Notamacropus eugenii: one gene and its partners. The protein of the gene in region 1 interacts with the protein of each later gene in a pairwise test. Links are inferred from orthologs where the notes say so. Each region holds a gene or a part of one and is shown on either strand. Other genes may lie near its edges.

Region 1 (7,888 bases):
TAAAACTAAGGAAATCTTAAGATGCATTAATAGACAGAGAGTGTCCTGAACAAGGGAAGTAATCAAACATAAACATAAATCCCACCATAATCAGCAGTGGTCAGATAATACCTGGAATATTGTGTTCATTCCTGGGTACGTCATTTTTAAAAAGATATTAACAAGCTGGAGAGTATCCAGAGGAAAAAAAAAATCCAGAATGGTGATGTACTCAAAAACCATGTCATATGAGGAACAGAAAGTATGTATCAAAATAGGATGATGATATTTTCTAAGTATTCAGAAGACTGGAAATACAATGGCTACCTTGTGGTAAACTCTGAAAAGTACTTGCTGATAGTGATGCTTTTTTCTTCTCTGTACGCACAACTAAGAGTTCCTATTAATGAAAACTGCATTATTTGCTAAACTTGTAAGATTTGCTAATATTTCAGAAGTGTTGGGCAACTTTTCCCGAATATATCCCACCTAAAAATGACAGCCTATTTTTCTTCCATTTACTATGGAGTTCATCTAAAACAAGGACTGCCAACATTTGTAGTAGTAGAACAAACGTGAAAAAAAATTCAAGAAAGAAATGTTATTTTATTTTTACATTAAAAAATACAGCCTCCTACGAAAGAATTTGAAGTTAGAATATGTAATTTGAGAAAAGAGAGCAACTTTGAATAATTTATGACTACTTTTAACATTCATTTGGAATGGATAAAGATGAAGGTAACTGAAAACCACCTCCCACTCACACAATGATTCCCCTTCTACAAAATTAGTATCTTAATTTGACATTTAAGTTATCACTGTTTAAGTGTTTGGTTATCCAAGTTTTTAAGAGAAAATAAAATCTGTTCTAATACAAAAATATGTTTATTCAGAGATCTAATTAAGTCTCAGTTCAAGTTAGATTTCCTTTCTGTCATAATACAGGATCATAATAAACACCACCCACAAAAGTGTCAGAAACACATCCAAATGCAAATGCCAAAAAAGAGAAAAATTTACAAGTATTTGTTGAATTGCACAAAAGAACCCAAGAAAACATTAAAACCCAAGAAATCAAAAGGTATTTTCACCATCAGTTTCCTACCAGATTTTTTGGGAAGGGATAAGCTGTCAATGAAAATTCAGGAAAAAGTTTCAAGATGAAAATTTTAGAATGCAATAGTTGGCTAACCAAAGATTAAGTACACAATTTTTCTTTCAGGATTTACCAATTAATAAAACACAGAACCTTTACCCTTTCATGAGAAGTCACCCAAATTATGTGACAAGTAAGAACCCAAAAGTCTGGATCAATAGTAATAATTTCTTAATAAAAAATACATCCTAATTACTTTTACCTGTAACATTATTACTGTGGAACTGAAAGCTATTACCATAGTTTTTTCCCACCTAATCCCTCTGTCCTAATTTCAATATTCCCCCCTCCCTCTTTCCTACTTTAAAAGGACAGGTCTAATTCTTTCCTTATAAAACCTAAGGTGGAAACTTTCTTTCATGAAACCCTTTTATTTATTAACTCTGTAGTACTGTGAAAATGTTGTAATTTGAATTATTTTGTACCTGTGGTGTTGTGTAAATATTTCTGCCCCTAGAAAGTCACAAGAAGATCAAAGTCTGAGCATTCTTTACTTACCCGGAACCCAGCTTTTAAGAATTAGGGCATGTCAAGTAAATAAACTGATATGCCATTTAAGAAGCACCTATGTGCAAGGCACTCTGTTAAACGTTGGAAATACAAGGAATGGCTTTTTAAAAGTCCCTGTTCTCAAGGAGCTTACAAAATCTGATAGAGGAGACAACATTCCAATAACTATATACAAAAGAGATATATAGAGTATCCCCAAAATTTTAGTACATTTTTAAGATACTAAAGGTTTGGTAACTTAAAACTGCACTAAGACTTGAAAAAGCTACTAAAGCTTTTAATTGCATTAAGATTTCTGGGGACAAACTATTTATAGGATGACTTAGAAATAATCTCGGAAGGAAAGCAGTAAGGGGCTCGGAAAAGCTTCACAAATAAAACCCACTGCTGAAGGGCCGTTCCAAGCAACTGAGGTAACTTAAAACCTGTCTATAAACAGAACCACTCTGCTATCTATAATTAAGGAAAGCGATCCCCTCTCCAAACTCATTTGTCTCCACAGATCTGATCAAATTCCACCGAACAGCTCAGGTACTGAAGAAAAAAGCTACCCACCTGAAAAAGAATCAAGAGTCTATCAAGAAGCAAAGCTGCTAATCTGATGGAAGAACCTCCAGTGCTGGGATGGGGGGTAAGGAGCAGGGGGAGCAGGACTAAGGCATCGCCCTCACGCCAAGTCCCAGCGTTCAGGAAAGGAGCTGGGGGAATCGCCTCTTCTTACGGGGGAAAGGGAGTCGTACCCGTAGTGGCTTTGGCGGCCGCCCCCAGGCGTCTGCCTCGGCCTCCCCGCCGGGAGCGAGCCCCCGCCACCCCTCCTCCGGGCTCACCTCCAGCTTGTGATTAATCTGGGACACGGTCTGCGCCTTGTGGCAGAGCTGCGCGAAGCAGGAGCTCAGGCTGGTCATCTTCTGGCGTCCCTCGTAAGTGATGTCCGCCTGGTCCGGGTCGATCTCGCCCAGGAGGAGGTCCACGTCCACGAAGGCCTTGTCAAACTCCTTCTCCAGCACCTCCAACCATCGGAACATCGACACCCCCCCGGGGGGCACCCCTGAGGCGCAGGAGGCACCCCCGGAGACCCCTCCGGGCCCCGCCGAGCACGGGCCGCCCGCCGACATGGCGCTGTTGAGGGCCTGCCCCTCGCCTCTCCCGCCGACCCGGCCACCTGCCCGCGGGAGGGGAACAGCCGGGACCGAGCGCTCCGCGAGCGCGCCGCTGCCGGTCCTGCGTCCCTGGCCCCTCGCGCAGGTAACGATGGGAACCCAGCTCTAAGGGTGGCAAAGGGATGAAGCAGAGGTTGAAGCAGCTACGGAGGAGGAACTGGCTAGACCGCGGGTCGGAGTCGCACCCCCCCACCCCCCTCCCCCGTCCCCTTTGCGCACGCGCAGAAGCAATCCGCCACTGGCGCCGGAGAGGGAGGAGTGGGGAGGGGCAAAGGTCAGCCCCTAGCCTGTGATAGGCTTCTGACAGGGCCCAGCCTCTCCGTGGCCATCTTGGGTACTGGCAAGTTGCGGGATGAGAACTCAACGCAAGAGTTGGAGGTGTTGAGCGCGTCACTGTCTACGTGGGAAGGCATGGAGGAAGAGCGACAGTGTCCACGTCGCGTAGGAGAGTAGCTTCCGTCCATCTCTTCCTCTGTCAGATCCCAAAGTGGTAGGGCAGAAGGGGGCGCCGAGGCTAGAGCGATGAAGTACCTTCTGCGCGTGCGCGGTAGACACGTGTTTTGGTTTTTTTTTTTTTTTTTTTGTCCTATCCTGACGTCGTCACGCCTCTTCTCCCGGCCAGGTGTTCTCCCCAGGGAGCTTCAGTTTGTTAGCCTGTTGGACATCTGCCGAGCATCCTTTGCATCTTTTCCAGCCCATCCCCATGCTTCCCTTCGGGCGGCGCAGAGTGGGCTCTTAGTACCTGGAAGCCCCGGGAATGCGCCGCGCGGGCTCGAGGGCTGCAGGAGAGGGAGCATCGGCCCAGGACAGACAGCCCGCGAAGGCTGCGCTGCCGGTGATCCCCAAGCGGAGCCGAGACCCTTCGGGGCCGGCTATGGGCGAGCCCAAGAACCACGGAAGTGAAGGGGACTTGAGAGACCCTGCCCACCCCCTTCCCCGCTTCTTCTCGGATGTGGAAACTGACAGCCCCCGTGGTGCCAGATATGCTTCGACGGGAAGTCGCGGAGCTGGTATTTGGACTTCATTCCTCCGATTCCGAAGAGGGCGTTTGCCGCTGGCCCGCATCTGCCTCCCACTCTGGCAGCACTTTTTAGAATGTGCAGCGCAGCTTTGGTTTGGTTTTCAGGAGGGGGACAGATGAGCCCATCCTTAAAGGAAAACGTGTTAAAGTTATCCCTCTGTACACTACAATAAAACAAAACTTGGGAGAGTTTATCCTTTCCTTTAGTTTCAGAAACAAAGTAATTTAGACACTACTTGTGAACGAATCATTTCCCCAACCCTGACTTGTTTTTTTGAGGCCCAGGCAGTTTGATTATAAAATCGCAGGAGTGGTAATGTGGTATACAGTGGGTAGAGAGTTGGCCTCCAAGCCAAGAAGAGCTGAGTTCGGTCCCTCTAGTGACTCATGCTGGCTGCATGACTCTGCATGTGACTCAATTTCCTCAGTATTCTGAGGCAACTAAGATTATAAATTAGACAGAACATGCTGACCTGCACCAGTAGTAGTTTCCTCACCCAGAAACTGTTCTTACCAATGAAATCACAGGTCCAGTCCCTAACTTATGGAGAAATGAATGTCATATATGGATGTTACCTTAATTTTTACAAATATTAGTCAATATTAGTATGTAGGTAGTAGAGGGAGGGGGAGTAAAAGCATAGAAGAGAAATTGAAGAAAAGGATATTGTAATGTCGCAGATATGTAAGGCCAACCTATGGAGAGGACTGTTGTATGGCTCAAAGTATTCAGAACAAACATCTCTAGCCTCTTCTCCTACTTTAATTCCTTCCAGGAAGGGAAGCAAAATGTTCGGGCCAGAAGACGCTAATCTACTATCTTCAAAGACAGGGAGTACCAGGTTAGAAGTATCTGATCACTTTGTCGTTTTGGGGGGAAGAAGGACTCTAAGATCTATATTCAGGGCCTGACCCCTTCTTCACCAAATACCAGTTTCCCAGTGAAAACACAGAAAATAGCAAAGGAACTCATTTATTCAAAGCACAGCAAAGCAGAAGGTATACAAATAATATACAGCACACAATTGAGAATGAAGGGGCTTTGTCTTTGGGAGTGAAATAACCCAACCAAGAATGTGTTTTATCTCACTGAAGAGATAATTCCCCCAAACCTCTAGTATAGCTAGCTGGAGATAGGGAAATGCAAGCTCTACTCATGTGTTTCCAGAATTTATTCCTGGAAGCTAGGAGTACCTGAGAGGAATTAATGCTCAAAGACTTGAAGCTTGGCCAGTCCCAGAGAGGATGGATTCTAAAGAGTTCTGAAGAGGGATTACTGAAATGTGGAGCTCTCTGCCTCCCACCAATTCCACTTTGTCCATCATGGAGGGTAGGGCCTTCATCTCCACCAATAAGGAGAGAATCTTGTACGAATGGGCTTTGGGACAGGGATTATAATAATTTGACCAGCACCCATAAAAATGAAACTGTAGAGAAGTGAGTGCTACTTAAGTCTTATTCTTAAGCCTCATGAGGTACAGATTGTCTTGTGTTCTCAATGGCCATGCTTGCAAGGTGCAAGCTCTAGAAGGCTCTGCAAAGATAGTTTTGCTTATGGGTCCAGAAACAGCATGTATCTGTTCTCTGAAAACAAGCTTTATTAAGTTCTGAGGAGTTTGTCACTGTCAGCAGCAGAATAAAAAATAAATTCTGCCAAAGCTTCTAATAAAGATCACAAAAGGGTAGGAGTTTTGATCTGCCTTGATAGAGAACCTACACACTCAAAATTACAGATTTTTTAAAATATCAAAGTACAAGTGATGACTTGGATTGATTTATGTTATCTTGCCAACTTGTTCAGTACCTTTAAAACCAGCAGCAAATCATGGAAAGAAAGTTGCAGGGAGATTGAGTAGGGAAGAGGAAAGAGGTAAAGGTACATGATGAATATATTATACTGTATGGCCATTTTCTCCTTCATACTTCTCCCCTAAACATTTTTGTTTAGTTGAGTTCAAGTCAAAGCTTATTTTGAAATTGGAAAGTTGTTACACAATGATAAAGGAGAATCTAAGTGTTAGCAAGGGCTATAGCTAAGACTACATTCATCAGTGGCAAACAAAACAAAATTAAAACAGGAGAAAAGAGGGAGGGAATTACATGGCAAGAGTCTGACTACAGAGGCCATTTTGCTGTGAAAGAATACTGCCTGGCACTTGGCTCTACAGGGTTGGAGGAGAAGGTGGCCCTGAATGACAAGACACTAAACATGGCAGCCTTCCTCTAGACTGCTACCCCCATCCACCAACAGGCTGACCAGTACTCTGAGGAAATCAGACTCCAGACAACCCCCTACAATTAGAGTTGGCCTAGGTTAAGTGATTATGGAAGCTACAGTTATTAGAAAGAAGGTACTAGAATTAAGGGGGAGTCAGGAAAGACTTCGTATAGAAGGTGAGATTTTAGCTGGGATTTGAAGAAAGCCAAGGAAGACAGGAAGAAAAGGTGTGTAGGAAGAATTTGCAAATGGAAAGATGGAGTATCTTGGAGGAACAGCAAGGAGGTCAGTATCACTGAACAGAAGAGTATGTAATAAAGTGTAAAAGGATTGGAAAGGTGGGAGGAGAGCAAGTTATAAATGGCTTTGAATATCAGAGGATTTAACATTTGATCTTGAATGTGATGGGGAGCCACTAGATTGTATTAAATGGAGGCAGGAGGGGTTGACATCTTCAGACTGGTCAAACCTTAGGAAGATCTGAGAGCAAAGTGGAGGATGGACTGGAGTGAGGAGAGACTTGTGACAGGGAAACCAACCAGCAAGTTTCTGCCTGAGGTATGAGGTAGAAAGGACCTGTACTATAGAGGTAGTAGTGTCATAGGAGAGAAAGCGGTATGCACAAGAGATGTTATGAAGGTAAAAATTGACAAACCTTGACAATAGATTGGATATAGGGGTGAGAGAGTGAGGAGTGGAGGATGAAGCCTAGGTGGCAAACCTGGGGGCTAGGAGGGTAGTAGTGCCATCAATAGTAATAAGGAAGTTAGGAAAGGGGAGGGTATAGGGAGGAAGATAATAAGTTCAGTTTTAGACATGTTGAGTTTGAGACTTTTATGGGATGTCCAGTTCAAGGTGTCTGAGAGGCAGTTAGAGATGGGAGATTGGAAGTTAACAAGAGACATTTGGCCTGGATAAGTAGATTTGAGAATCATGAACATAGAGATCATCAAGTGAAGGAGTATAGAGAGAGAAGAGAAGAAGGCTCAGGTCAGAGTCCTATGGGCATGATCTGGATAAAGATGTAGGAAAGGAGGTTAAGGAGTGGCCAGATATTCATCCTTAATAATGGCAGAAAAAACAGAGGCTTGGATGTTTCTTTTTCATACTATGCTCCTTTTTTCCTGATCTCCCCAGTTAGTTCCCCTCAACAAAATTCTTCTACTTTTACTTTGTATATATTTTATATTGACTTATCTGTGTGCATATTTTCCCAGCAGGAGAATGTAAACTCTTTGAGGGTAGAGATGGTTTTGTTTTTGTCTTTGTCCCTTCAAAACCAAACATAGGGGGATGGAACCAAGATGGTGGAGTAGAAGGACCGACCTGCTTTAGCTCTTTCCCTGTAGCCCATAAAATACCTGTAAAAAATGGCTCTAAACAAATTCTAGAGCAGCAGAAGCCACAAAATGACAGAGTGAAAGAGATTTCCAGCCCAAGACAGCCTGGAAGGCCAACAGGAAAGGCATATTGCACCAGGCTCAAAGTGGAACAGTGTGCACCCCAGCCTCAGAGTGCAGCATGGACAGGACTGGAACAGGCTTCAGGGTATGGAATCATGGACAGCAGCTGTGGTTCCCAAATTTCTGAACCCACAAATGCCAAAGACAGCTTCAAAGGTCAGTAAGAAAACTCTTTCACCTGGATAAGAGGAGAGTGGCATCTGGCCCTGGCCCCAGGGTGGCAGCAGCCACTGCGGCAGCAGCATCCTCTTTTGGAGCCCTTGGCCTAAAGACCCTGGGAGAATCAAGTGGCTGATCTGGGTCTCAGATATCCATAAACACTTAAGAGTTCACCCTAACTATCTGCATTAGATAAACCAAATGGATGCAGAATGCCTATTG
Region 2 (8,016 bases), on another chromosome or scaffold:
TCTTCCTGACTCTAAGCCTGGTGCTGTATCCTCTGAGTCACCTAGCTGTGTAGATAGATAGATAGATAGATAGATAGATAGATAGATAGATAGATAGATAGATAGATAGGTAGGTAGGTAGGTAGGTAGGTAGGTAGGTAGGTAGGTAGGTAGGTAGCATTTATTGAGTGCTTTCCATGTACCCCAAACTGTGCTAAATACTAAGGACACAAATATAAGTAAGCCAGACAGTCCTTGCCCTCAAGAAGCTTATATTCTAATGTGGGAAGCTAACATAAAATGGAGATCTGAAATGGGTGTAAGTTGACACACAGTGTCATGGTTACAACAATTGGCTCCCTCTTCCGTTAAAAAAAAACTTCAAATTTTTGAAGATATATGTGCCTCTTTTAGGTTCAATATTCCCAGTTTTTCTGTCAGTCCTCCTGTGGGATATTTTTCCAGGCTCTTCATTATCATTGTCACTGTCTTCTGGATGGATGCCAGTTTTTTCAATGTCCTTCTTAAGATGTGGAATTGAATGCAGTCTATAGAACATCCAATCTAACCAGTGCTGTAACAGTAAGAGAATGGCAGTGACAAAGAGTCCTGTAATCAAAAGTCAGAGGACCTGGGTACAAATCCTGGGTTTTCTCTGCTTCCAGTGTGACTTCAAGCAAGTTAACCATTTAAGCCCTTTCTCTGTTTTCTAGTTTGTGGATGATTTTACCTGATAGAGAAGTTGGGGGGGAGGGGTGATGAAGTGAGGGAAGCTATTGCTTCATTTTCTCTCCTATCCACCCACCAACTCCCCTTTCTATCCACTTAATCTTTCCAATGAATGTATATGTTTGTGAATGACAAGGGGCAGAATAGAGAGCAAGAGATGGTAACTAGAAGAGGGTCCTTGTGGTCACAAGATGGACCCTCGGATACACTAAGAATTGCAATTGAAACATTCAGCTCATGGAAATGTAAAAACTTAGGTTAGTAATTCCATCTAGTGAGAGATATCCTTGAAATGGTCCCAGCATGGGGCTACCATAGCATGAGAGGTTCCCATGGAGACCTAAGTTACCCATTTCTATCATGTATCCCAGAAAGAAGAAGTTAAAGAGCAGAGTGGAAACCAGCCACAGTAGCTATTCTCTGCCTTCTTCATAGAAGTTAATATGGTATAATAGAAAGAGCATTGGACTTTGAGTCAGAACAGATTCCAGATCTAGACCTTAAGCCTTACTAATTATAATCATAGGTGTGTTGCCTAACCTATATGAGCCTCAGTTTCCTTTCCGGGAAAATGGGGATGATAATAATATTTATAATACCTACTTCATAGTATTGTTGTGAAGATCACGGAGGCTTACAGATTTTAAAGCTGGAAGGGACGTTAGAGATCATCTCTCTCAGCACTAAACCACATATAATGATCCCTATAGCTGTATATTGACTTATAAAACCACAAATTAACATTGTCTATGTTCTCTTGTATTCTTATTTATTTTTTGAACATTCCTAATTACATTTTAATCTGGTTCCAGCTCAGCAGTTTGACACCTTTGATCTAATCCAACCTCTTCATTTTATTGAGTCTGAGAGATGACTTGCTTAGGGTTACATTAATAATAAATGACAGGAGGCAGCTAGGTGGCACAATGGATAGAGCACTGGCCCTGAAGTCAGGCATACCTGAGTTCAAATTTGGCCTCCAACACTTGGCACTTACTATCTATATGACCCTGGGCAAGTCACTTAACCCCAACTGTCATAAAAAATTAATAATCAGAGATTTGATCATAATAATAATGAGATTTGAACCCAGATCTTCTGATAAAAATGTAGTATTCTTTCCACTACATAATAAAGACTCTCTATGAGATGGTCAAATTGATCAATCTTGTCATTTATTAAAGGCTTGCTACATGTCAAGTTCTATGCTCGGCACTAGGGATACAGAGATAAAAATAAAACAAGGCCTGCCCTCAAGGAGCTTATATTCTATTGAATGAGATGACATGTGCATAAATAAATATAAACAGAATAAATGCCAAGCAATTTTTTGTGTGGAGGGCACTTGCACCCAGGGAAGGAGAGGTCATGGAATGTTTTATGTAGAAAGTGTCACTTTAATAGGGTTCAGAGGAAAATAAGAGATTCTAAGAGACAGATGATGACAGAGATGAGACAGTACTGCATTTCCAGGCATGAAGCAGACAGCCAGTACAAAGTCATGGAGGCAGGAGATGGAGTGAATGTGTGAGGAACAGAAGGAAGGCCAATTTATCTGGTCCATAAAGTACAGGAATGGGAGTAATGTACGTATCATTATAGCTCCAGTGATCTCATAATCAATCAAAACACCTCAGGCTAAGTTTGAAAGGGTTAGAACTAGAACGACATTGCACACTTGCACAAGAATCATATTCGTATAGGCTGAGGAAACCTGACCACACCCAGGGAGCATCTATCAATTATCAAGTTCAATTGAGAAGAGGTAGAATTCCAAAATTTGGAGTGAGTGTGGTGTTCTTGCCGAACTTCCAGAGAAGGACTCACTTGGTGGAGTGGAAGGCTTTGGCCAGATTCTACCCTCTACCTTGAGTAGAGGATAAATATCCAACTTTAAAGAGGATGGTGAATTCCCATCTTCCCACCAGTATCCTAAACAGCATTCTTCTTTTAGCTGGCAGCAGTATAGGCATCATCAGGAGCTAATGACATAGTGAGACACAACTCTAGAAGTACCCCAGTCAAGAGAACATATCATGCCCAAGGGAATGGAAGGACTTCTAGTCACCAAGAATTGCGGGGTACTCCTTTGTTTCGAATTTACCCTCAGCTTGAGCCCACTCTCCCTTGATCTCTCTACTTATTTAACAGATCATTACTTGGGGGGAGAAGAGGTGGATTTCTTGTACCAACTATTCATATTGTGGTACCTTAGCAAATTCCCATTTCTAAAAAGTGATTTAAGACTGGCTGACACTGATTCTTTTTTTTTTAATCCAATCTTATTTTATTTTCATCTCTGAATTCTCTCTCTTATCTTCCTTTCTTCCCTCACCCCACAAAGTGAGAAAAACAAAATCCATTACAAATATATATTGACTAAATGATTCTCAATTAACCATTTTGGAGGGAAGCACACCAGTGAGGGCTTGAGCCAATGGCATTAGAGAATGTCAACCCTCAGCCCTCAAGGATACCCCTAGAACCTTCATGGGAAGAGTTAATTGGCCTTGCTCTGGGAATTTCTTGTCAGTGAGAGCAGGAATTGGAATGAGTATATTAAACAGCTCATATAGGCTACAAAAGTTCAGAAAGTTAGGTTTGGGCCAGTTTGTGAAGAGCTTTAAAGGTAAACCACAGAATTTCCATTTGAATATTGGAACTTATTGAGTAGTAAAGTGACATCCTCAGGTCTGAGCTTTGGGAAAATCATGCTGGCATCTGTATAGCTTTTCATTGGCTGTCATACCTGGAATATTCTACCTCCTTACCTCCTTACCCCTTCCTCCTACTTTCCTAAAGACTCAGCTCAAATCATCAGCTCTTCAGCAGATCTTTCCATGTATAATTTCCTCCCCACCCTGAAGTACCTTTTCTCTGAAATCACCATGCATTTCTTCTGTATGTATCTTGCACATACCTGGTTACTTACATATTATCTTGTTGTTCAGTCATTTCAGTCATGTCTGTCTCTTTGTGACCCCGTCTTGGGGTTTTCTTGGCAAAGATATTGAAGTGGTTTGCCATTTCTTTCTCCAGCTCATTTTACTGATGAGGAAACTGAGGTAAATGTGGTTAAGTGACTTGCCCAGGGTCACACAGCTAGTAAGTGGCCAGATTTGAACTCAGGAAGTTGAATCTTTCTGACTCCAGGTCCAATACTCTATTTACTAGGACACTTAGCTGCCACTACATAATATCTCCTCCATTAGAATGTTGGCTTCTTGAGGGCAGGGACTATTTTGCCTTTATTTGTATTTTATCATAGTTCCTGATCACTTAATAAATGCTTATTGATTTTTAATGCACTAGATTAGAAAGGAGAGACACTTGAGGTAGGGACACTAATCTGGAGGTTACTGCAAATAGTCCAAGTGAGAAGTAATGAGGGCCTGGACTAGGTAGTTACCATGAGTGTAGAGAGTAGGGGATGGATATGAGAGAGATTGTGGAGATGAAAAAGACAAAGGTTGGAAGCTAATTGGATATGTGGGATGAAGGAAAGTGAGGAGTCAGGGAGAATGCTGAGTGACTAATACGATGGTGATAACGAGAGAACAGTATAGACAAGGAGTATAGGTTCCAGAAGAAAGAGAATGGACTCTTTTTGGATGTGTCTCAGTCTCAGGTGACTGTAGGACGTGTCAATCTCCAGTGGAAGATGTTTGACAGGAGAAAGCCTAGGGCTGGATATGAAGACTGGGGTATCTTCTGCATAGAGATAATTAAGCCCTAAGGTACTCTATAATGTCAGCTCTTATCTCTAGGTGCTCAGAGCTAATGAACCGAGTATGATTCTTAACCTGAAGACCAAGGGCCCACTTTAAGTGTCTACCAGGGCTGGCCTCTGTAAGGTCTTCCTCCAATTAGGCTCATGTGGATGGCATGTGCACAGCCTAGGGAGCCTGCTTCAACTCTGGTCCCCAATCCCTTCAGGGGACTTCAGAACAGTGTGTAATGTGTTTGTACTAGACGTTGTCTCTACTTTAGAAGGAATCTATTCCTATAACATTTCTGCTTGAGAGGGCAGAGCTGTCCCCAGAAGGCAGACGTGCCTAGTAACCTGGGGATGCTGTTTCCACTCCAGATGTGCCAGGGTGCTGGGGGCTGTAGTAGTGTTCCCAGCCCAGATGTGGATTTGGGGATGTTCTTGGCCCAGTCAAAGGACTCTCATTTCTGCATTTTTATTTTTCTTCTTCTTCTTTTTTTTTTTTTTTGGAAAGAGCCCACTAGGGCAAACTCTGCTCCCACACACACACACAACACACACACAGAGTTTGGAATCTGCAGTTCTAAACAAGTAGCAACCTGTGAGCTTCCACTTCTGGTCCCCCAGGGCTTCCATTGAAAATCCAGCCAGGCCGTAGCTGCAGAGGGCTACAAAGGTCACTCCAGCTCGGTGGGTTAAAACAACAGATCGACTGCACCGGGCCAAGTTGGCTCAATGGTTAGCAGCCCAGTTGCAACATCTGTGAGCCCCATCAGAACAAAAGCCTTTTAAATTCCTGTGACCTGGGTCTATCCTTTACTGCCCGTGATACAGCTCGCTCCCTCTGCTCTCCTTGCACTCTGGGACTCCTGGGAATGGACTTTGGAAAGGAAATCAGTGCAATTAAGTGGTGAAGTGGGAAAGCTGCTGGTGGAGTCAGTGCTGCCTCCTATGGAACCTGCCGAGGGGAGAGGCTGCCGGGTGGGTAAGGTCTCCCCGGGTTTACCGCCGGGCTCATTTGCTTCACTTCGCCGGTTGTGTACTTGTCAGATAGGGAGCCGGGGCCAGGCAAAGCTGGGGCGGCTTTCTCCGGGATTAGGGAGATTAGGGAGCAGACTGTGAGAATTTGTAGGGATTAGTGTGCATTTCAGAATTGATTCCGGCGGGGGGAGGGGGAGACTTGGGGCTATCTTCGCTCTGTCCAGCAGCTGTAGGGATCGTCCCAGTGTCGGACTCACGTTAGACCGGAGAACCGGGGGCTCCCCGGAATGCGGGAGGCGGTATAGACGGAAAAGCCTGAGACTAGGCAGAAATCAAGGAGGGTGTTGCCAGGGCATCTTGTAGTCAGAGAAAGGTATTCAAGAAATAAAGGAACTAAATGGTATTTGAGGCAGCAAAGGAAAAAGCAGAAAACTTGTCCCGTTTTCTAACCTGCTTTACCCCGTGTCTTTTGACTCTGAATTATAGGAGAGACTTTCATTTTCGGTAGTCTCCCCGCCTTCCCCCCGCCAGAAGAAAAGAGAAAAAAAATCAGAATACTGAAGGGGAGGACATCTGTACTATAAAGCCTGCTTTAGGATTAAATGGTTAAATAATTGAGACGGAAAGTTTTCTTTTTCCCTAATTGGATTCAGGAGATTATTTATATAAAGTATTTTGAGTCGAATTAAAGTGAAATCGCTAAATATTGCTTCTGGTGATGATTAATAAGCCAAGGCAAATTGCCCTCACAGACTAACAGTGGTTTAGCTTTTTGCCTTGGGGGACTGGCACTCTCAGACCTTTTTGCCCCTTCTCTCATCCTGTGTCCTGCTACATCCCCCACCGCCCCACTTGCTGCCCTTTGGATCTCAGTTTATTTTGTCCTGAAGGAGTTTCCTCCAGCTGTGTGTTTGTGGTTTCAGGGAGTGTTGATACAGAGGTTATCTTGGAAATCCCCCAGCTTCTTTTGCTTAGGAGAGTGGACCCCTAATTATCAGGAGGAGGAAGAGGGACCTGGAGGCCGGGACTATTCGTTTTTTTTTTAACTGAACATTCTAAAAACATCAGTGGCCATTGATTGCCAATGCCAAAGGAATCTATTTATATTAGTAAAGACAGCTGGTGAGATGATGGGCTGAGAGTGAGTGAAGCTGGTTGGCGTGCCTGCTGAATTGGAACTGAGTTGTAGCCTTAATACATGTGATGATTGAGTAAGTATATCCCCTCCCTACTCACCTCCTTCTGGAGTGCCAGAACTCACCCTTCCTCCACTGTTCCTTCCCTAACCTGAGGCCAGACCCCTTCCTAGGGCCTGACACCCCACTACTGCACTCTGTTCCCCAGGCTGGTGTTTCAGAAATCAAGCTGCTGGTTGCTTTTCATCCACTTAAAGAGCCAAACTGGGGTCTTTCTGGATCTTAAGGAACTCAGAGTGTTTTGGGACTGATTCACTTCCATCTATAGCAAACCTGTCCATATTTCTGAACTCATTTCAAATGCTACCCACTTAATCAAGGTTTTCCTGATCCTTGTCCCCCACTGCCCCATCTCTCCCAAGGAGAGTTATCATCTTTCCATCTTTAGTTTATAATTCCTTCATAGCTTATTACTCAATTTAGCACAATCCTTTGGCCCTGCATTAACAAAGCTAGAAGGAACAATGCTGGAAAGTTCATGCCTTTAGTAGATTCCAAATCTGAGAAGATGTTCTTGGCATGTCAAGATTTTCTTATTTTGACCTGACAAGATTTTTTATTTTTAATTAGAAAATGTGGAAGTTGGAGGTAGTGGTAGAAGCAGGAGTGATGATGGTATTTGGGAGGATAGAAAAAAAAGTGTCCTATTATATTTAGCTAAGTATGCTGGACTGTCTTGAAGGGGAAAAGGTTGGTAAAGATGTAACTGGAAAGAGCTTCCCTAGCCTTGGGGAGCTCCCAGTCTGGGGGTGGGTGGGAATTGAGTTTTTGTCCTCCTCTACTTTCCCTTCCATTGGAAAAGGCATAGTTCTTCCCCTTGGGGGGACTCCCAGTTCGATTGGAGACATAGGAAAAACTCTGAGTAAATAAATATAAGGCATTAACATTGAAAGACAATGATATTGATGATGTGAAAAAGAGCTATTCAAGTAATATCTGCCTAATTTTACACACATTAAGAATGAGGTCATACGATGGACTAGAAATGGAATTGGAATCACAGAATTGACTCATATCCCAGTTCTTCTACTTAATATCCATGTGAATTTCATCAAGTCACTTCACTTCTGGGCCTCAGTTTCCTCAACTATAAAATTAAGGGAATTAACCTAGACTATCCTTTCAGCTTTGGATCCTCTGAGGTTTCCAGAGTGATTCCAGTGACCAGAACTGGGAAGATTAACTTAGAAAGAGGTTTTCATGGAGGTGAGTTGAGAGTAAAGAGTAAGACAGAGTAGGGAACATTGAATAAGGATCAACAATGTGTTAACCCTTCTCCTCATGTGGCTTACTGACAGCTGTCAGTCCTAATTAGACTCCTGTCTTCTCTTGTTCATCCTCTATAAAGCTGCAAAAATAATCTTCCTAAAGCTAAGTTCTCACCATGTCACCATTCCCTTACTCCAGAATCTTCATTGACTC
Region 3 (7,322 bases), about 110 Mb from region 1:
TACTACATTAGAAAAAATAATAACAAAATTCATCTGGAAGAACAAAAAGGCAAGAATATCAAAAGACCTAATGAAAAAATATAAAGGAAGGAGATATAGCAGTAGATGATCTTAAATTATAGTATAAGGCACTAATTATCAAAACTAGAACTCTTCTTTGCCCTAGAGCTCTGACCAAGTCCATCATTCTCCTGCAGCCACAAATGCTAGTGCTTCTCTCTGCCTGGGAACTGTGACCAGGCCCCCTGTTCCCCTGCCACTTCAAGCATTAGCACTCCTCTCCATCCTGGAACTGTGACTCAGAACCGCATACAGGTAATAAAACTGTCATTCAGTACTGTACCCAGTACCAGCAATGAGTTCCCTATAATCTCTTTCTGATCAGTTGTCTGATCCCTTTGCCATTTCTGGGCTGAGAACTCCTAAGCTGCTGCACCAATGGCTGCAACTGTGGTTGTGACTGCGATTGCTGCAGCAGTGGCTTTGCAGCTGTGGCACATGCACGCTCTAAACCAGTCTTCACTCTGGAATCACAGAGCTTTCCAGCTGACCTCCAAAGTTTTCTTAGGCTGGAAAAATGTCTCACTCTGCCCATTTCTTGGCCCCATCTCATCAAAATTTTATTTGAGGCATTATTTTAAAGGTTTTTTTTATTGGGATGGAGGGAGTGAGGAACTTTCAAGGACTCAGACAAGGTGGACAAAGTAGGAAAGGCAGGAGAAGGAAAGGAGACATTGCCTTGGACTAGACCATTTTGCAAGTACTGAACATTTACAGGTCGCCACCCTAAAGTGTTCCTGAGATTGCAGAATAATATAATATTCAATATCCAAAAAAGAAAGCAACAGAGTCCAGCCTAGAACTTCATTCCAGAAATGTGCAGAGTATACCTCTAAAATCAAATCTAAAATCAGGAAATAGGCTAGAAAAATGAACAAAATTTTTAAAGAAGTATCCTACCATAAAAAGCTATTATGGTAATAGGGATATTCAAGATACAACCCCCAAAGAAGAAAATGACTCCAAAACATCTACAAACAAAGACTCAAAGGAAAACACTTTGGACACAAATTCAGCTAGAATTCTGAGAGATGAATTTTTAAAAGAGCTAAAAATATTTTTTATAAATGAAATGAGAATGTTAAAGGAAAATATTGGAAAAGAAATGAGAGTGGTGGATGAAAGAATTAAAAAGAGAATTAATAGCTTGGTATAAAAGGTATCTTACCCAAGAGACATGACTCCATGAAACAAGAAATATTAAAAACAAAATCAAAAGGCTGAAAAAATTAATTTGTTCTTTTATATCTTGATGAACTTAAGAAAATAATGGAAAAATGGGGCAAGAGACACACCCTGAGGGATCATAAGGGGAAAAGAAGATTAGAGAAAATTATTTCACATAATCAAGATGTACAAGTAGACATCTATATACTTAAGTAGGAGGGAGTGGGAATGAATGGCTAACACTTGAACCTCACTCTCCTCTGAACTGATCAAAGGAGAGAAGAACATAAACACATATGCACAGTTCTGTTTTCACTGTTGAGTACAGAAATGCATTTCGCTCCATAGGGAAATAGAAAGTAAAGAGGTGAAATTAAAGGGAGGGTAGATTAAGGAAGAGATGAGTCTCTAAGCAAAACAAACTCTAAGGATGTAGAAAAAATGTTTATAGTTCTTTTAGAGATCTCAAAGAATGGAATATGAGAAGATGCCCATAAATTGGGGAGTGTTGAGCAAGTTTTGGCAATAAAAATAGGATATGGTTTCAGATAAACCTGGAAAGATTGTATGAAGTGGAAGCAACCAGCAGAACAATTTATATAATTTATATATGAATGAATGAATAATTTATATAATGACAATATTATAAAAGAAAGCAACTTTGAAAGAATCAGGAATACTGATCAACATAATAATCAACTACGATTCCAGAGGATGAAACATACTGCCATACAAACAAACTTTCCTCATAGAAAGATGGAGAGAATTATCAAATATAGCAAATATAGAAATTTGTTTTGCTTAACTATATATATTTGTAATAAGAGATTTTGTCCATCTTACGTTCTCAATTGGGGGAGGGAGATGAGTTGAGATGGAATGGAGAGAAGGTGGATATTTTCTGATTGAAAAATATGATTTCTTTTTTACAAAGAAGTGACATTATCTGGAAGTTTTCAAAGTCCATTAATATTAATACTCAGGAGATAGATAGATATCAATAGCTCCATCCTAATGAAGCACACAAAGGGTAAAGATGCTCCTGAGATCATCAATGTCTTTGAAACCAGTCAGTGCTCCAGCTTACCCTCAAATCCAGATATCCTAGGTAAGTATGCTGTTTATTGTTGCACATAAATTCTCAAATGGCAAACACTTCTGGCCAACTAGTTGAGGTCATACAGACCCTTACATTTTATGTTTGCCTCAGCTGTTTTTATAACTTTCACCTCCCCAAAATTCCCTTTTGAGTTGACACATACAGCATTTTCTCTTGACCAAAAGTTCTCAGGATAAAATCTATTTGGCTGTTTTAAAATAGTCACATAGAACTTTTTACTGAGATTCACTAATTAGAAAATAAAACTTTTACCCACACTCTCTTTACCAGAGCATTCCAGGTCTTATTCCTCATCCTCTATCCTCAACTTTGGGAAATAGGCAACTTGTCATCAAGGTGTGTGGAAAGGGGTTGGAAACAACAGAATGGGGTGACTTCAGGTTTGTGCAAAAGACTCAAAGTGCTCTTTCAGATTTTTCCTACCCCACAAGTCTTTAAAGCTTCACTTGATGCTCAATTTGAATTGATTTCACTGTCACAGAAATGCTCAAGCAGTAGTGTACACAGCATGATTTGCTAGAATAAACTCTACCTCTCAGTGTCTCAACTCTAAAAATTTAAGTTGCAGACAAATTACCTAGCTGCATGGGTGAAAGGATCTTCATTGATAGTGGAGGGAGTACCTCTGTCCCACTCTACCAACGTATTTTTACGATGCTGTTAGGAATGACTATACATCTCACTGACCTGCCTTGTCCCTGGAGAATCAGTTCTCAGATTTGAGCAATAAATTGTTAAAACTTTCTGGAACCTACATGTCTATTCCTCAGTGCTACAAACTGAGATTCAGAATTTGAGTATCATAACTTTATCATAAATCCAGAAAGTATTAGCTATTTCCATTTCATAAATTTTATTGTCAAATCTGGAATGCATCATTCTTCATGCCCACATCCTATCAGTTTTAGTATAAGAGGAAGGAAATGCAGAAGGTGTGGGGTGACTTGGAACCTGTAGCAGTAAGGTTTAGGGGAAACTTTAAATGTGACAAAACCCTATTGAACTAGAAACAGAACTCATTCATAGAAAGAACTTAGCTTTCCTTCCAAAAGTCTGAAGCTTTCTCTTTTGCTATAACCTGCTTGGTGAGATCAGTTGCTGGATCCAGATCTTGCTTGGTGACTTCAGCGTATTCCTTTTCTGCGAACAGAAAAAGATTCAGTATGAGAGAGTTCAATGTGTGTGTGCAATATATTTCACTTGCAAAAATCAAGTTAGATTGTCTATCAAAGAGTGTGATTTTTCACTGAGGCTGCTTAAGATTTGATTCTTGGGAAGAAACCCCAATATAAAATAATCTCACTGGTCTAGCTACACTAGGCCCCGTGGGACCAAGAGAAGATATGAGGACAGTATGTTCCACTGGAAGTTTTGTTTATTTTGAAGTGCTTCAGCTTATCTCTTTCCTGAATGCTACAAATCCAAACTGCCCTGTAGGAACACAGACATGTTGAAAACTGAGGGCCCCAAAACAGCTTTGGGGATTTTCCCGATAGCCCCCATTAAAACTAAACTCCTAAAGACAATTGATTCTGCAGAATCTATTACTATCTGTTTCTCACTCCAAGGTCAGAACATGGGCTAGGAAATCCTTGGCTTATTTTTACAAATTCCTAGTCCCTGAAAGGTCACGTCTTATTCCATGAACACAGATCACACTTGGAAAGCCTAACAACATTGTAATTCTTAATTTCTTAAATTTGCTCTGTACGGAAGGATTACTGCCTCCAGTTTCCTAAAGACACATTGTTGTTCCTTCCCCTGCCTGCCCCAATTCATATTTGCAGTCTCTGGGACAGCTCAGCATGCTACAAAGAGTTAAACCAGCTGTGCTGATATTCTCTTGGCGGCTCCAAATTCCAGGTCCAAGCAATAAGCTTCTGATTGGCTGAGCTCCTATCAGTAGTAGTGGGTATCAGATATCAAACTTGAGACTTTACTAAAAAACTTGTTAGCAATACTCTCCGATCCTTGGTAGGCTATGACATCAGCCAAGAAAGCCTACCATGATCATAGTAACCTCTGAGTAGGAGGAGGATCCTTCTGGCTGAGTAATTAGCTCTGCACAGCGAGGGTGAGCAGTTAGTTTTCTGTTAGTGTCAGTGTGCGTTGCATCCAAACTGATTTGAGGTACTGGCTGCTGCAAGACAAGTCCCCAGGAAAGCACAACAAACATCGGATGAATTCTGAATTATTAGCTGTGGTCATTTTGCCTCCTGGTTGAAATCAGGGTGGGGTTTCTGGCACAGGACTGCTTGCTGAGAATCACCATGACACTCCTGGGGTCTGAGCATTCTTTGTTGATTCGGAACAAGTTCAGATCAGGTAGGGCTCATTACACTTTCTTCTTCTGCAAGTCTTATTTGCTTTTTTATTAAATGTATTTGAAGCCCCAAACAAGGCAAATGATAACAGATTGCTAATACTGCCACAGTTCTGTCCCCCTTCCCAATATTCTGGGGGCAGGCTTGCATTTAAATTGGGAGATAATTGTATGAATCTAATTTCTTTGCTTTTAGTTCATCTGTGTTTCGTGTTTGGATTATAATAACTCCTATTAATTTTCATTTCTTTTCATACCCCATAAATTGGGTCATATATATGAAGGAGTAAGTTCTGAAAGGAACAATTAAGAAATCTCCAGTTTGTGCTTTTTGGTATGTTAGGTTATAATTCCTGAGAAGACCAACCAGGTACTAGTATATTAGAACCTAGAGATCAGTTGGGACACAACTAATTCACATAAACGCATTTCCAAAAAAGAAAAGTCACTTGGGGGAAGTAAAAATAGCAAATTTATTTAAAATGACATCACTGCAGAAAAAAGACCCAGTGCCACAGTTCCTCCACAACCATCTGATATTTATAAACTGAGAATCTATCCCAAATCTTCTGTGTTAGTGGAGAGCAGAGAAACTTCTGAAAGATCATTCTCTCTGAGCGAAGGTGAGTGAAGGGACCTGAAAGGGCCAACCCCTCCTCAACAGAAAGTCTTTATTCAAATTCCTACAGATAAAGTCCAGCAAGTGAGTATTCATATACACCTGTGCACATTTTTCCTCTAAATCCTTCCTAATTAACTTTACACATAAAACTGCTATGATTCAATGGGCTATGCAATTCAATAGCGGGGGAATTACTATTGTGTGATGTTTTACTTTAGGATTCTATACCTTAGGACAATATGCAAATTTGCCAAAACTTTTATTCAGAAGAACCCTAGAGAGTTTTCCTATTTCTAACCCGAAGTTTTCCAAAATGCCTCTTTTAATTCTTGTTGCTTCATTTTATTTTTTATCACGACACCTGAGGTTTGTAAGAATGATGATGGGAGTGAGGTGTTTACCAGAAATAGACTTCAGCAGCTACAACATTAGCAATGTTATCAAAACTCCAGAATGTAAATGGAAACCACAACTCCAAGAAGATTCGTGTGTGTGTGTGTGTGTGTGTGTGTGTGTGTGTGTGTGTGTCTGTCCCTTGAGATCTTAACACTGCAGTTGATCAAGCCATTTCTCTGTTTGGTGAAGTGTGATGAATAGATTTCTATCAAGAATTGTGAAGCAATACTGCCACCTTTCTGAAGAAGAGAGGGTGCAACCTTGTTTTGAGGGCAGCCACATTCTTTTCATGTGAGCCATGGCTGTTTTTAAAATGAATTTTTGCCTGGTTTGCCTGTAAAAGGATTTTGTGATGTTCTTGATAATACACTTGCAAAACATACTTGTCAAATGAATCTTTCCTTACAGTAAATTTCAAGGGGGTAGTGAGCACATTAAATTCTTCCACAATTCATGTGGCCCATCGTGGTGGATTTATGGGCTCATCTTTTTTTGCTAATATTATTTCCCACTATATCTCATGAATTTGAGGTTGATTATACTGGTATCCGTGGTAATGCTTTGGAGTCTTTGATCACAGGGATATTTCATACCAAAGACCTTACTTAGCATACTCACTTCATATTTCATCTGCTAAGACAGTGTCTCATGGCAGACAGGAAGGTTGGTTTGAGGAGAAAGATATGAAAATAAAGACATAAGCAAATGTGATTACATCACAACCTTGAGTCTAGAAACATTCAGCCTGGCAATCAGAGACACACATGGAGGCTGGCAATATGCTAAGAAAATGTAAGAAAGATGTCATTAGAAACCTTAAGAAAACATGATGATAAATTAGGAAGTAATGTAATTCTTGTGCTTAGATACACTTATATAGAGAGATATATAAGCAGCTCCTGCATCCTTGAGTTGTTCTGAAAGGGGGGCTCTTTCTACAAAAAGTCTATTGTAGCTTGTGACAAACAAGTAAGGGTTGGCCTTTATCAAATTTTGGCCTCTTAGAGACAATATTTAATCTTATATGGCTATTCCAGTTTCATTACTTGATTTTGCTTTGTTATTTGCAAAAGAGACTGAAATTCTTTAATTTATGGAGAGTATTTCTTTTTAGAGAAACTAAATTTTGTTAATAATCATTGTGACATTTCAAAGGGATTGATATGAATAACTATAAGTGAAATTTGATGTGCCAAATGTTGAACAGCTAATATCCCTTTAAAAAATTTTCCCAGTTATGAACAAATGACAAGACTACCTAAACAATAAACGATGAAGGCTAAACATAGGATGTAGTCTAGAATACTATAGTAGTAGTCAAATAATACTATATATGTAAATTTGGACAAATGATTTAACTTCTCTGGATCTATTTTCTCACTTGTACAGTGAGGGATGTATTAAATGTTCTCTTATGTCCCTTTCTAGCTCTAACGTTCTGATTTCATGAAAATTATAAAAAAGTAATAGCACATAAAATAAATGGGTTTCACTCACAATAATTTTGTAAGTTAAATTATCATGCTGCATAACAGTTAATGCAAGATAAGCAGTTTATAAAAATAGCTGTAATTAATATTAGTTGTATATAAACCGCATTTTTATAGTTTCTCTCTTTTTGTTAGTTTTCCTGT

Evidence for each region. The genes of interacting proteins can lie anywhere in the genome.
Region 2: the proteins of GOPC (region 1) and MYLK interact in binary tests that used the Homo sapiens proteins (3 or more experiments, as listed by UniProt). The two-hybrid records come from large-scale screens. The link is inferred for Notamacropus eugenii from reciprocal best matches to the Homo sapiens genes GOPC and MYLK.
Region 3: the proteins of GOPC (region 1) and MYOCD interact in binary tests that used the Homo sapiens proteins (3 or more experiments, as listed by UniProt). The two-hybrid records come from large-scale screens. The link is inferred for Notamacropus eugenii from reciprocal best matches to the Homo sapiens genes GOPC and MYOCD.

What each region holds. Positions count from the first base shown.
Region 1 is NC_092873.1:199,300,986-199,308,873, forward strand, and holds the start of GOPC (Golgi-associated PDZ and coiled-coil motif-containing protein), read right to left. Parts: upstream 3,019-7,888; 5' UTR 2,761-3,018; coding exon 2,473-2,760; intron 1-2,472.
Region 2 is NC_092876.1:340,049,733-340,057,748, forward strand, and holds the start of MYLK (myosin light chain kinase, smooth muscle), read left to right. Parts: upstream 1-4,999; 5' UTR 5,000-5,368; coding exon 5,369-5,402; intron 5,403-8,016. UniProt on the Homo sapiens protein: Calcium/calmodulin-dependent myosin light chain kinase implicated in smooth muscle contraction via phosphorylation of myosin light chains (MLC). Also regulates actin-myosin interaction through a non-kinase activity.
Region 3 is NC_092873.1:314,054,993-314,062,314, reverse strand, and holds the start of MYOCD (myocardin), read left to right. Parts: upstream 1-4,305; 5' UTR 4,306-4,617; coding exon 4,618-4,672; exon of another isoform or gene 4,673-5,373; intron 5,374-7,322. UniProt on the Homo sapiens protein: Smooth muscle cells (SM) and cardiac muscle cells-specific transcriptional factor which uses the canonical single or multiple CArG boxes DNA sequence. Acts as a cofactor of serum response factor (SRF) with the potential to modulate SRF-target genes.